2 linked regions of the Oryctolagus cuniculus genome follow. The protein of the gene in region 2 interacts with the protein of the main gene of each other region in a biochemical or structural test. Links are inferred from orthologs where the notes say so. Each region holds a gene or a part of one and is shown on either strand. Other genes may lie near its edges.

Region 1 (5,240 bases), on a different chromosome or scaffold from region 2:
AGGCCGGGGTGGGAGAAAAGCCCCTGTTCAAAAGCACAAGCCCCCTCCTCCTGCTCCCGAGACGCCGCGGCCTCTGCAGAACGCGTACCTAGGAGCGCGCGCCGAGTCCCCGTCGCCGGTGGCGCCCACACCTCCAAGGCGCGAGCGGCTGGGTCCCGGGTCCCTGGCCCGCAGCGCTGGCGCCGAGGTCCCGCTCCACTGCCCGCGCCGGGCCGCGCAGCCTTATATCTAACGGTCAATTCGTGCAATCTGTCGCCTCCCCCCTCTCCCTCCCCCCCTCGGGTGTGTATGTTTTTTTTTTTCTCCTTCCAAGAAGCCCGTCTACCAGTTGCTGTGTCCTCGCTCAATAATAATTACCTCGTCCGAGAATTAATTATAATAAATGTTTTCTTGATAAACTAACGAGATAATCCGAGGGGCACACGTCCCTTAATTACAGGCCGCCGTGCTCAGCGCCGCGGCTCGTCCGGGCTGATTAATTTCCTGCCTGACGGAGGGGCGACACCACCAGGCGGACGGGGCCACCGTGGCCTGCGGCTGGGGGGCCCGCGTGGACGCGGCGGGAGCGGGCGGCGCAGACGGCAGCGCCGCGCGCCTCTCCCGGGCCAACTCGAGGGAAAGTTTGTGGCCTGAGGGAATCGAGCGACGCTGCCCCCGCGAGGGAGGGGAAGCCGCGCGCCGGCGGGCTTGGCCTTGACTATTCGCGGAGGTTGGGAGCCAGCCCCGGGTGGCTCGGCGAGCGGAGGGAGGGCTTTCCTCGCCAGTGCCTCTCCCGTGCCTGCAACAAAGTCCCGGGGCGAGCACCAGAAACCCAGAGCCCCGCAGCTCCGGCCTGGACGGGGCAACTGCCCGGCCACCCACCCGGCAGAGCGCACTAGTCCCGCACGCCGAGGAGGGAGCCTGGGGCTCCAACGCAGGGTCCCCCCAAAAGGGACGGCCCCTCCACCCATCCGCTCCAAGACTTCGTCGGAGTTGGCGGCGCCCCCTGACCGCGGATCTTTCCCCCGCAGCCCGCGAGCAGAGGCGGCGAGGGCCTCGGCGCACCCCTCGGCCCCAGCCGGCCCCCGGCCCCACTTCGGCCTCGAGCCTGGGGAGGGAGCGGCGAGCGGGAGGATTCCCGGCCCCGGGGCGGCCTCGGGCGGAGCAGGGGCCACTCGCCGGCGCTTCCGCCCGCCCCAGGTGCGCGCCGAGGGTCGGCGCGGCTGGCCCGGGACCGGCCCGAGCTCAGCCGCCTTGAAAACCGATGCTGGCACCTCCGTTCGGCCTGGGGGCCCGGGTCTGGCACCGCGACCGCCGATGGAGTGTTGGGGGGCGGGGGGGCACTCCCAGGACTTGGGGGGGAGGGGAAGGGGATTAAAAAGGAAGGGGAGACCAGGAGGCCTTGGGAGGAGGCCGAGAACGGGGCAGCTCCGGGCCGGGCGGAGAGCACGCCCGCGCCGCCCGCCTGCCCGGTTATCCGCTCGGCTCCCCGGCTCGCGTTCTCTGCGGAGCAGGCGGGCGCCGGGGCCGCGCCGCAGGCCGGGGCCGACCGGCGAGCGAGCCGAGCCTCGGGGCGCAGCCCGCAGGGGCGCCTACCTTTTCCTCAGGATCGTTTGAATCCATTCCTCAAGCTACATCTGCATTTTTTTTTTTTTTTTTTTGTCTCGGACTCTACACACGTCCTTGGGATCAGCCGGAAACTGGGGCCCAAAACGCCCAATCGCGCGGAGACCAAAGCCGCGTGGACATAAAAACCGAATCGGGGACAAAAACCCCTGCGAAGGCCCCCACACCGGACCCGGGGGCTCCCCGGCGACCCCCGCGAACACGCTCTCTCCCTCCCCTCCCGCCTTCCTCTCCAGATGGCGAAATCTTCCCAGCGATCTAACACTTCACGAGTAACACCTCAAGACTGGTAAGGGAAAAACAAAACAAAACAAAACAACACAGCCGCATCAGCCTCAGAAGGGCTCCGCGCTGACCGAGGCGCGCCGGCCGGTCCGGCAGGTGGTGACGGACACACTTACCTCACAGCCGCATTGGAGGTTAGGGGGTGGGGGCAATCGAATTATCCTTCAAAATCCCAAGTAGCCAGCTATCCTAAAAGAAATTAATAAGAGTATTGCGTTAGAAACCGTGCAGTCTTCCCTTTCCACATACACACAAAAAAAAGTCAAACAGAAGCAAAAAAAAAAATTTTTTTAAAGAGCGGAAAATGCGGACAGTGGCCGGGGCTGGGAACACGCGTGGGCCCCCGTGCGATACGTACAAAGTGGACGTGGCGAGTGAGGGCTGCGCTGGCGATTTTTTATTTTTCATAACAGTGCAGGCTGAGTCGGAGCTGAGGCCGGTTCCGCTCTCAGGGAGATTTGCTGAGAAAGCGCCTCTCTGGCAACTTTTTGACGCAAACTATCCAACCAATGGCAGGGAGAGAATGATTGACACATCTAAGCCAGAGGGAAAATAATAAAAACACACACAACAGGGGGAGGAAAACAGGCCGCTGCTGCACGGGGGGACGAGCAGGCAACAAATCCAGGCCTCCGACATTACCAGAATGTTCTTGAAAGACACCGGGCTCCGCTTAAAACACACGTTGCGGGCCGGGGCGTGTGAACCAAGTGTATAATGAACATGACGGACAGGCAGGGCCCGCGCCTCCTTCGCCTCCGTCTTCCGTCACTCCTTCCCTCGGCCCCTGTCCTCTCTCTTGTTGTTTGAGGGGAGAGAGGAAACCCACACAACGTTAGGGCCAGAGATGAAAATGCCCACGTCGAGGCGGGAGGGGGCGGGGTGCGGCCGAGGCCGGAGCGGGCCGAGCCGGGCCGGGCCGGGCCGGGCCTGGCACCGCGGCCGCCGAGCCTCCCACGGGCTGGGGGGTTAGGAAGGGAGCCCCGAGGGAGCGCAGGGCCCGCGAGGAAGGGAGCCGCACACCCCAAGGGCAAACTGTTCTGCAAATCTCTCTCTGCTGTACGCCCTTGGTCAAGACCCCCCCTCCCCGAGTCCGGTCCCCGCGCCGGCGCCCGGGGCGCGCTGCCTTCCTCCGCAAGCGGCTGGGGAGGCGGGGTGGGAGTGGGGGGGATGGAGAAGCCCAGGGGCCGGCTCCAGACACAGACCAGGCCTGGTGGGAGTGCGAGCGTGCGCCACTCGGGCGGCGGCCCCGCACACCCAGCGTCTGCGGGCGACCTGGCGCGGCGCGGGCCTGCGGCTCCTCGGGCGGGAGTCCCGAGACTGCGAAGTGCGGGCGCCTGGGGACCCCGGCCGGAGGCAGTGGACCCCAGCCCAAGTGTTCCGCCCGGCACGGACGGCTTCCAGCGCGTTTGAGTCTCTAGAAATGCAGACGCCAACGGGGCGGAGTACTGGGGAGCTCCGGGTGGAGCTGCTGGGGCTGCGCGGGTGGGGGTGGGGTGAGCGTGGCGGGAGCCGGGGACACCTCGGTCCCCCTGCTCCCAGAGCAGGAAAAGGCGCCGCAGCCCCCTCCCCTCCCCCAGCCGCCGCCGCCACGGCGAGTGGGCCCAAGGAAACAGCTCGCTGCCTTTAATTTGGGGACCTATGTTAATGAAGTCGGTAATTAATTCGTCGCTTTGTTGTCGGTTCTTATACTGTATGTGTAATCAAATGTGGCCGTCCTTGGGATTTACAGCAATTAACGAATTACGGGAGTGCGCACGAGGCGGCGAGCTCTCGGCAGCCGGGCTGGGCTCCGGCTCCTGCGGCTCGGCCCGGGGCCGGGCCCTCGGCGGCCGCCGCCCCCCTCGCGGGTGTCTCCGAGGGCTTTGGGGGCCCCCGCGGCCTGCCGAGACCCCCGCGCGGCTCCTCCCGCTCCCGCCGCCGCTGCACCAGTCGCCAGAGAGCCGCTGGCAGTCCCGTCCCCAGGAGTCACGACTTTCTAGGGGCCGGGCTGGGGGGAGGGTGAGTACGGACCTTTGGCGATCACCCCGCCTCCACTGCACCGAAACACCTGGCGACCGCCCCTGGGGCCTTTCCTGGGTGGGGGGTGGTGGTGGCGGTGGACGAATGCCCCAGGCGGTCCGGCCTGCGGGGCGCTGGCGGTCCAGGCGCCTCTCGCGCGCGCCGCCTCTGGGTCCCCACGCTTGGGGTGAAGGAAGGGCAAGCCCACCGCGGTCCCGCGCCGCGGCTTCGCCTTTCCACCCCGAGGGAGGACCGTGTGCGCCCACCCCCACCCCGCCCCAAGTTTGATCACTCTGCGGTTTAAAGCTTCCAAGAGCGAGGAGGAAAAGTGGGTTTTGTGGGGGCTGGCGGAGGGAAAGGGTCGGAGCCAGGCCTTGGGGCCGGTGGGGGTGGGCAGGGAGGAGAAGTATCAGAACCCGCGCTGGCGAGCGCCTCGGCGTGAGTGAAAACTCCCGCACTGGGAGACCCGTGGGAGCGTGGGGTCCCGCCCGTGGAGGTGTGCGGTGTGCTCTCGAGTGGCGGGGACGGCCCGGGGCAGCGCTGGACAGAGGCAGATTTCTGCGTGTTGAGGTGCGGACCGGCCGCAGCCCGCTCCCGCCTTGCCTGTGACCTCTCTACCAACTTCGCAGACACGCGGGGCCGCAAAGCACGAGTTGGAAATGGACAGTGTTAAATAAACAAGGGTCTCTTTAAAATTCTCATCCACTTCAGATGTCTAAAGTAAGATTGTGATGATTTTGTCACGGTTTGGTAAATTTACCCCTTTAAGAGGCTTTCATAAATCCCAGAACACACCTTCAGCCAGATTTGAATATAGATTTAGCTTTTAAAACCCAGAAGCTGGAAACACCGCTTTATCAAAGAGAATTTCCCTTTAGCTTAGCAATGTGCTGAAGCTCTTAAAAGATTGGATCTGAGGGAGAGAGAGAGAGCGAGCGAGCGAGGGGAGAGAGAGAGACAGAGAGGAGAAAGAGAACTAGAGACAGAGAGATGCAGACAGGGGGGGGAAAAAGACTTTCTTTTTCTTTCTAGAGGAATTCTACCCAGACTGTGCAGCAGTTGGTAGCAGGCAAGCTCTCTCCTGGGTGTCGCCTGGAAAAGTTGCAAAATTGCTCTTCACCTGTAAGAACACGCTCTTTATCTTCCAGTCTCTTCTTGTCAATTTGGAAATTGCAGACAGCCGGGTGCAGGTACAGTTTCCACAAACCCTTCTTTAGGTCAGGACAAAAGCCACTGGCTTTGGGGGAGGGGGCTGGGCTGTTCTGCTGAGAACCTTGCGGGCTTGGTGGGAGAAAAAGACTCCTTGGATGAAAAGTCTAACTCTTGATTTCCAGTAAGTTCTTGAACTT
Region 2 (5,202 bases):
AGACGCACCGGGCCAGGCCCGCCAGCCGCTCCTGGAAACGCTCCCCATCCCGGGGTCGGGAACCTTGCTCTTGGGGGACCCCTCCTAGCACTACGAATGCCCACGCCAGGAATTGTCCAAACCACCCGCATTTCAGCAGCGAAGGGCGGCTGCGACTGGGGTCCAACACGACGCAGGTGTTGATGCGGCGTGGGTCTAGCAGGTGCTCCACCGCAAATGTGGCTCCCTCCTGACCTTTCCCCAGACCTTCAATTCCCATGGCTCAACTGAAAGCCTGCCTCTTCCTCTACCTTCTGCTACCATCACCCCTGCACAGGTGGGCCCAACGCCCCCCAGACTCCTCCTCCTTTTTTCTTCTCCATCTCGCAGGGGAGAGAGTCCAGGACTAGATTGCCATGGCCCACCCAGGTTTTCAGAACCAAGGAAGGGCGTCACCCGTGAGTCCCTTCCACCTCCAAAGCTGGGCTCTGAGGTCTTCGCGGGGAGCTGGCGCAGGACAGGCGACCAGGCTGAGCCCAAGTGCCCAGGGAAGACAATCCAGGCGTTTGGGTTGCTGGAGTTTCTTACAGAGCAGCCCCCCGGAATGCTGGGAGGACGGACAGAGACCCTCCGGAAGTCACTTTTGATTCCTGGACTCCAGTCTGTCCTCCCCCGCCGCCCTGTTTGTTTTAGTTACGAAACGTTGCGAGCACCTCGGTAGTGGCTGAAAAGTAACCTTGAAAGGCGCGGGCCTGAATGTCAGAGACAAATCATAGCCTCCCAACCGTCGGCTGCAGCCAGCGGGGCTGCGCCCGGCTGTCCCCACTGTGGGCGGCTGGCGGCTGAGCCCGGAGGAGGCGCGGGCCGGGGCTGCGGCCGCCGGACCATGCGCGCCCCGTGCGCCTTCCGCAGCCACCGCGGGGCTCGGCTGTGACGGTCCCGGGAGGGGCCTCCCGGAGCAGCGGCGGCAGAGTTCGAGGTGTGTACACAGGTTTTCTGAATACGACGGCGCTTTGCCCGCTGCTTGCTTTCAGCACTGAAGAACCCCGGGAAAAATAAATCCGGCTTGAATCCGGCTCTGCGGGGCGCGGCGGCCGGACGCGTGTCCTGGACACAGGCGCCGTGAGCCTGGCGCTCTGGGACGGGGCGGGGGTCCTGGGCCGGAGCCGCTCCCGAGGTTGGCCTCTTTGCGGGTCCCTCTTCCCACCGCGAGGTGGGGGTGTGTGTGGGTTGGGGGGGGGGACACCGTCCGGAGCCGGGAGGGCAGGAGGCTGGCTGGATCCGGGTGCCGGCCAGCCGGCCGGCTTGCCTGACACCCCCCTCGCCCCACGCTCGCTCTCTCCGAGTGCGGGGCGCGGAGGGGCAGGTGCGGGGCGCGCGGGCCGAGGCTCCCTCTCACCTAGGTGTGAGCTGATTATTCAAATGGGCTGCCCCGGGTCTGGGGATTGGAGGCCCGCGCCAGCGCGCCGCGCTATATCACCAGCCGCCCACGTCACTGCGGCACTTGTCCGCTCCGCGGTCCGCACCTCCTCCTCCTCCTCCTCCTCTTCCTCCTCTTCCCCCCTCCCCCACCCACCCCTGCGCTGCGCGCTTCCCGCCGCCTCGGGGCAGCTCGGCACTGCCAGCATCAGCCGCCACCCGGCAGCCCGAGAGCGGGGCGCGGGCGGCGGGCGCTCCCGACAGCCGGGCCCCGGCCTGGGCCTCCTGCGCTCCTCCGCCCCCTCCTCCCGCCCACTTCCAGCCACCGCCTCCGGCCGGCCGGCGCGAGAGGGAGTGGAGCCGAGAGCGAGCGAGCGAGCGCGAGGAGGGCGGAGGGAGGGAGGGGACGGTGCCTCGGCTGACTTTTTTTTTTTTTTTTTTAAAGAGGGTGGGGGTGGGGGGTGATCGCCGGTCGTTTGTTGTGGCTGTTAAATTTTAAACTGCCATGCACTCGGCTTCCAGTATGCTGGGAGCTGTGAAGATGGAAGGGCACGAGCCGTCCGACTGGAGTAGCTACTACGCCGAACCCGAGGTAAGCGCTCGCCTCGCCCGGGGGAGAGTGGGGCGGCGGGCGGCGCTCGCCCCGCGCCCGCCTCGGGACCGCTCCCCTCGCGGGCTCCCGCCCCCCCACCCCAGCCTTTCCGGGCGGCCGCCTTTACCTCCCTCCTTCGACTCAAATGGGTCTCTTTTTTATACGACACACTGTTAGCCTTGAGATAATATTAACTTTGTGATCAAATATTGACTTGCGGCGCCTCCAAATCCTCTTCGTGGCCGAGCCACGCACTCTCCTAACACAGTTCTGTTTGGCAGCGCGCGGCTGGGGAGGGGTGGGGAGCTGAAGAGGGGAAGGTGGTGGGCAGGAGCTGGGGGGTGAGGTGGAGGCAGCGGCAGAGCAGCGGGCGAAGGAGGCGAAAGAAAAGTTTGCGACTGCCGAGCCCGGCCGCGGGGAGTTTGTGGTGTCCCCAGCGCGCGCGGCTCCTGCGCTGTTCCTCGGGGCGATGTCCCGCTCTGCGTCCGGGCTAGGCGCTGGCTCGTGTTTCAGCTCCCCAGGGGCTGGGGAGGGGGTCGGGGAGGAGCGCCCGATGGAGGAGACCCTGGGTCAGTCTCCGCCTGGTGTCCCAAAGGTGGCTTGCCGGGGCAGGATGTGTCGTCCGGAGACCCTCAGCCGGGGCGCCGGCTCAGCATGCTGGCAGGAGAGTTTAGAAGGGGACTGCGGGCAGGGGAGGTGCATCCAGAGTGCTCGGCTTTGGGGTGCTCCGGGGATCCCCGTACGCTAGGCGCAGACAGGCTAGGAAGCTTCAGTTTCGTGCCCAGAGCAACAGCTCACCGGGCATCTCCCCAAAAAGCGATCAGAGCTCGCTCGGGGTAAAAAGGCCTCGATGTCCAAATACAGGCGTACCCCCCCAGCAGGGAAGGCCTCCCCCGGAGGAGGCGCGGGACCCGGGCCGGCTAGGGCGGCGGGGCTCGGGGAGGTGCGGGCACCCCACAGCCGCGGTGCTAACTCTGTCGCCCCCTTCTCCCTCCGCGGGCTCTGTTTGCAGGGTTACTCCTCGGTGAGCAACATGAACGCCGGCTTGGGCATGAACGGCATGAACACGTACATGAGCATGTCGGCGGCCGCCATGGGCAGCGGCTCCGGCAACATGGGTGCGGGCTCTATGAACATGTCGTCGTACGTGGGCGCGGGCATGAGCCCGTCCCTGGCGGGCATGTCCCCCGGCGCGGGCGCCATGGCGGGCATGGGCGGCTCGGCCGGGGCCGCGGGCGTGGCGGGCATGGGGCCGCACCTGAGCCCCAGCCTGAGCCCGCTCGGGGGCCAGGCGGCGGGCGCCATGGGCGGCCTGGGCCCGTACGCCAACATGAACTCCATGAGCCCCATGTATGGGCAGGCGGGCCTGAGCCGCGCGCGCGACCCCAAGACCTACCGGCGCAGCTACACGCACGCCAAGCCACCCTACTCGTACATCTCGCTCATCACCATGGCCATCCAGCAGAGCCCCAACAAGATGCTGACGCTGAGCGAGATCTATCAATGGATCATGGACCTCTTCCCCTTCTACCGGCAGAACCAGCAGCGCTGGCAAAACTCCATCCGCCACTCGCTCTCCTTCAACGACTGCTTCCTCAAGGTGCCCCGCTCGCCGGATAAGCCCGGCAAGGGCTCTTTCTGGACCCTGCACCCGGACTCGGGCAACATGTTCGAGAACGGCTGCTACCTGCGCCGCCAGAAGCGCTTCAAGTGCGAGAAGCAGCTGGCGCTCAAGGAGGCCGGAGCCCCTGGCGCTGGGGCCGGCGGCAAGAAGGCGGCGGCGGTGGGCGCGCAAGCCTCACAGGCTCAGCTCGGGGAGGTGGCCGGGCCAGCCCCGGACACCCCAGCGGGCACCGAGTCGCCTCACTCGAGCGCCTCGCCGTGCCAGGAGCACAAGCGCGTGGCGCTGGGGGAGCTGAAGGGGTCGGCGGCCGGGGCGGCGCTGAGTCCCCCGGAGCCGGCACCCTCGCCCGGGCAGCAGCAGCAGCAGCAGGCGGCCGCGGCCCACCTGTTGGGCCCGCCCCACCACCCGGGCCTGCCCCCCGAGGCTCACCTCAAGCCGGAGCACCACTACGCCTTCAACCACCCCTTCTCCATCAACAATCTCATGTCTTCGGAGCAACAGCACCACCACAGCCACCACAGCCACCACCAGTCCCACAAAATGGACCTCAAGGCCTATGAACAGGTGATGCACTATCCCGGCTACGGGTCGCCCATGCCCGGCAGCTTGGCCATGGGGCCCGTTACGAACAAAGCGGGCCTGGACGCCTCGCCCCTCGCCGCAGAGACCTCCTACTACCAGGGGGTGTATTCTCGGCCCATCATGAACTCTTCTTAAAGAAGGTGGCTTCAGGCCCGACTGGCTCAGACAAGCCTGGGACACAGACCAGAGAGAGAGAGAGAGAGAGAGAAAGAGGAGGAAGTGGCTGTGCAGACTTTAGCAGGGGGGCTTGGAGAGATGCAAGGGTGGAGAGATCCGTGACATCCCCCCCCCCAAGGCAAGCCCTTCTCTCCTGGAAAGATCACATTGAAACCTGTCGTTCTATATAGCGAGGGAAAGAGGAAGAAATATAAATTCAGAAAAAGAAAGAAAGAAAGAGAAAAGAAACAAAGGAAGAAGATAAAAGAAAGCCTCCGGTTTCACTGCTGTGTAGACTCCTGGTTTTGGAAGCACCTGCCAGTTCTGACCTTTTGTTGTCATTATCCATTGATGTTGTTGCAGGCGAGTCTTGCTTTAAAGGGGGAAAAAAAAACTTTTGTGAGTGACTCGGTGTAAAAACCATGTAGTTTTAACAGAGAACCAGCGGGTTGTACTATCGTTTTAAAAGGGGGAAAAATGTCAAGGTCTGTTGTAAATGACCAAGAAAAAAAAAAAAAAAGAAAATCATGCCCATTCTTGACATGGCGAAAATCCAGGTCTCGGGTCTGATTAATTTATGGTTTCTGCGTGCTTTATTTATGGCTTATAAATGTGTATTCTGGCCACAAGGGCCAGAGTTCCACAAATCTATATTAAAATGTTATTGCCGGTTTTATCCCTGGAATCTTTTCTTTAAGAGTTTTTGTTTGGTTGTTTTGTTTCGTTCTTCCCTTTGCCTGACTTGACACCCATAAACAGGTCTGAAATTATTTCCAGGAAGGTGGGAGACCCTGGCTGGTTGCAGGTTTTACTTGGGGCAGGGGGACCCTTATGTGTTGCTCTGTAGACA

The links. The genes of interacting proteins can lie anywhere in the genome.
Region 1: the proteins of FOXA2 (region 2) and OTX2 form a complex in vitro, tested with the Homo sapiens proteins (2 studies listed by BioGRID). The link is inferred for Oryctolagus cuniculus from reciprocal best matches to the Homo sapiens genes FOXA2 and OTX2.

What each region holds. Positions count from the first base shown.
Region 1 is NC_091443.1:19,920,788-19,926,027, reverse strand, and holds the start of OTX2 (homeobox protein OTX2), read right to left. Parts: upstream 3,234-5,240; 5' UTR 3,096-3,233; intron 2,389-3,095; 5' UTR 2,249-2,388; intron 2,080-2,248; 5' UTR 2,007-2,079; intron 226-2,006; exon of another isoform or gene 89-225; intron 1-88. UniProt on the Homo sapiens protein: Transcription factor probably involved in the development of the brain and the sense organs. Can bind to the bicoid/BCD target sequence (BTS): 5'-TCTAATCCC-3'.
Region 2 is NC_091442.1:46,965,582-46,970,783, reverse strand, and holds FOXA2 (hepatocyte nuclear factor 3-beta), read left to right. Parts: upstream 1-1,888; 5' UTR 1,889-1,903; coding exon 1,904-1,990; intron 1,991-3,002; coding exon 3,003-4,331; 3' UTR 4,332-5,028; downstream 5,029-5,202. UniProt on the Homo sapiens protein: Transcription factor that is involved in embryonic development, establishment of tissue-specific gene expression and regulation of gene expression in differentiated tissues.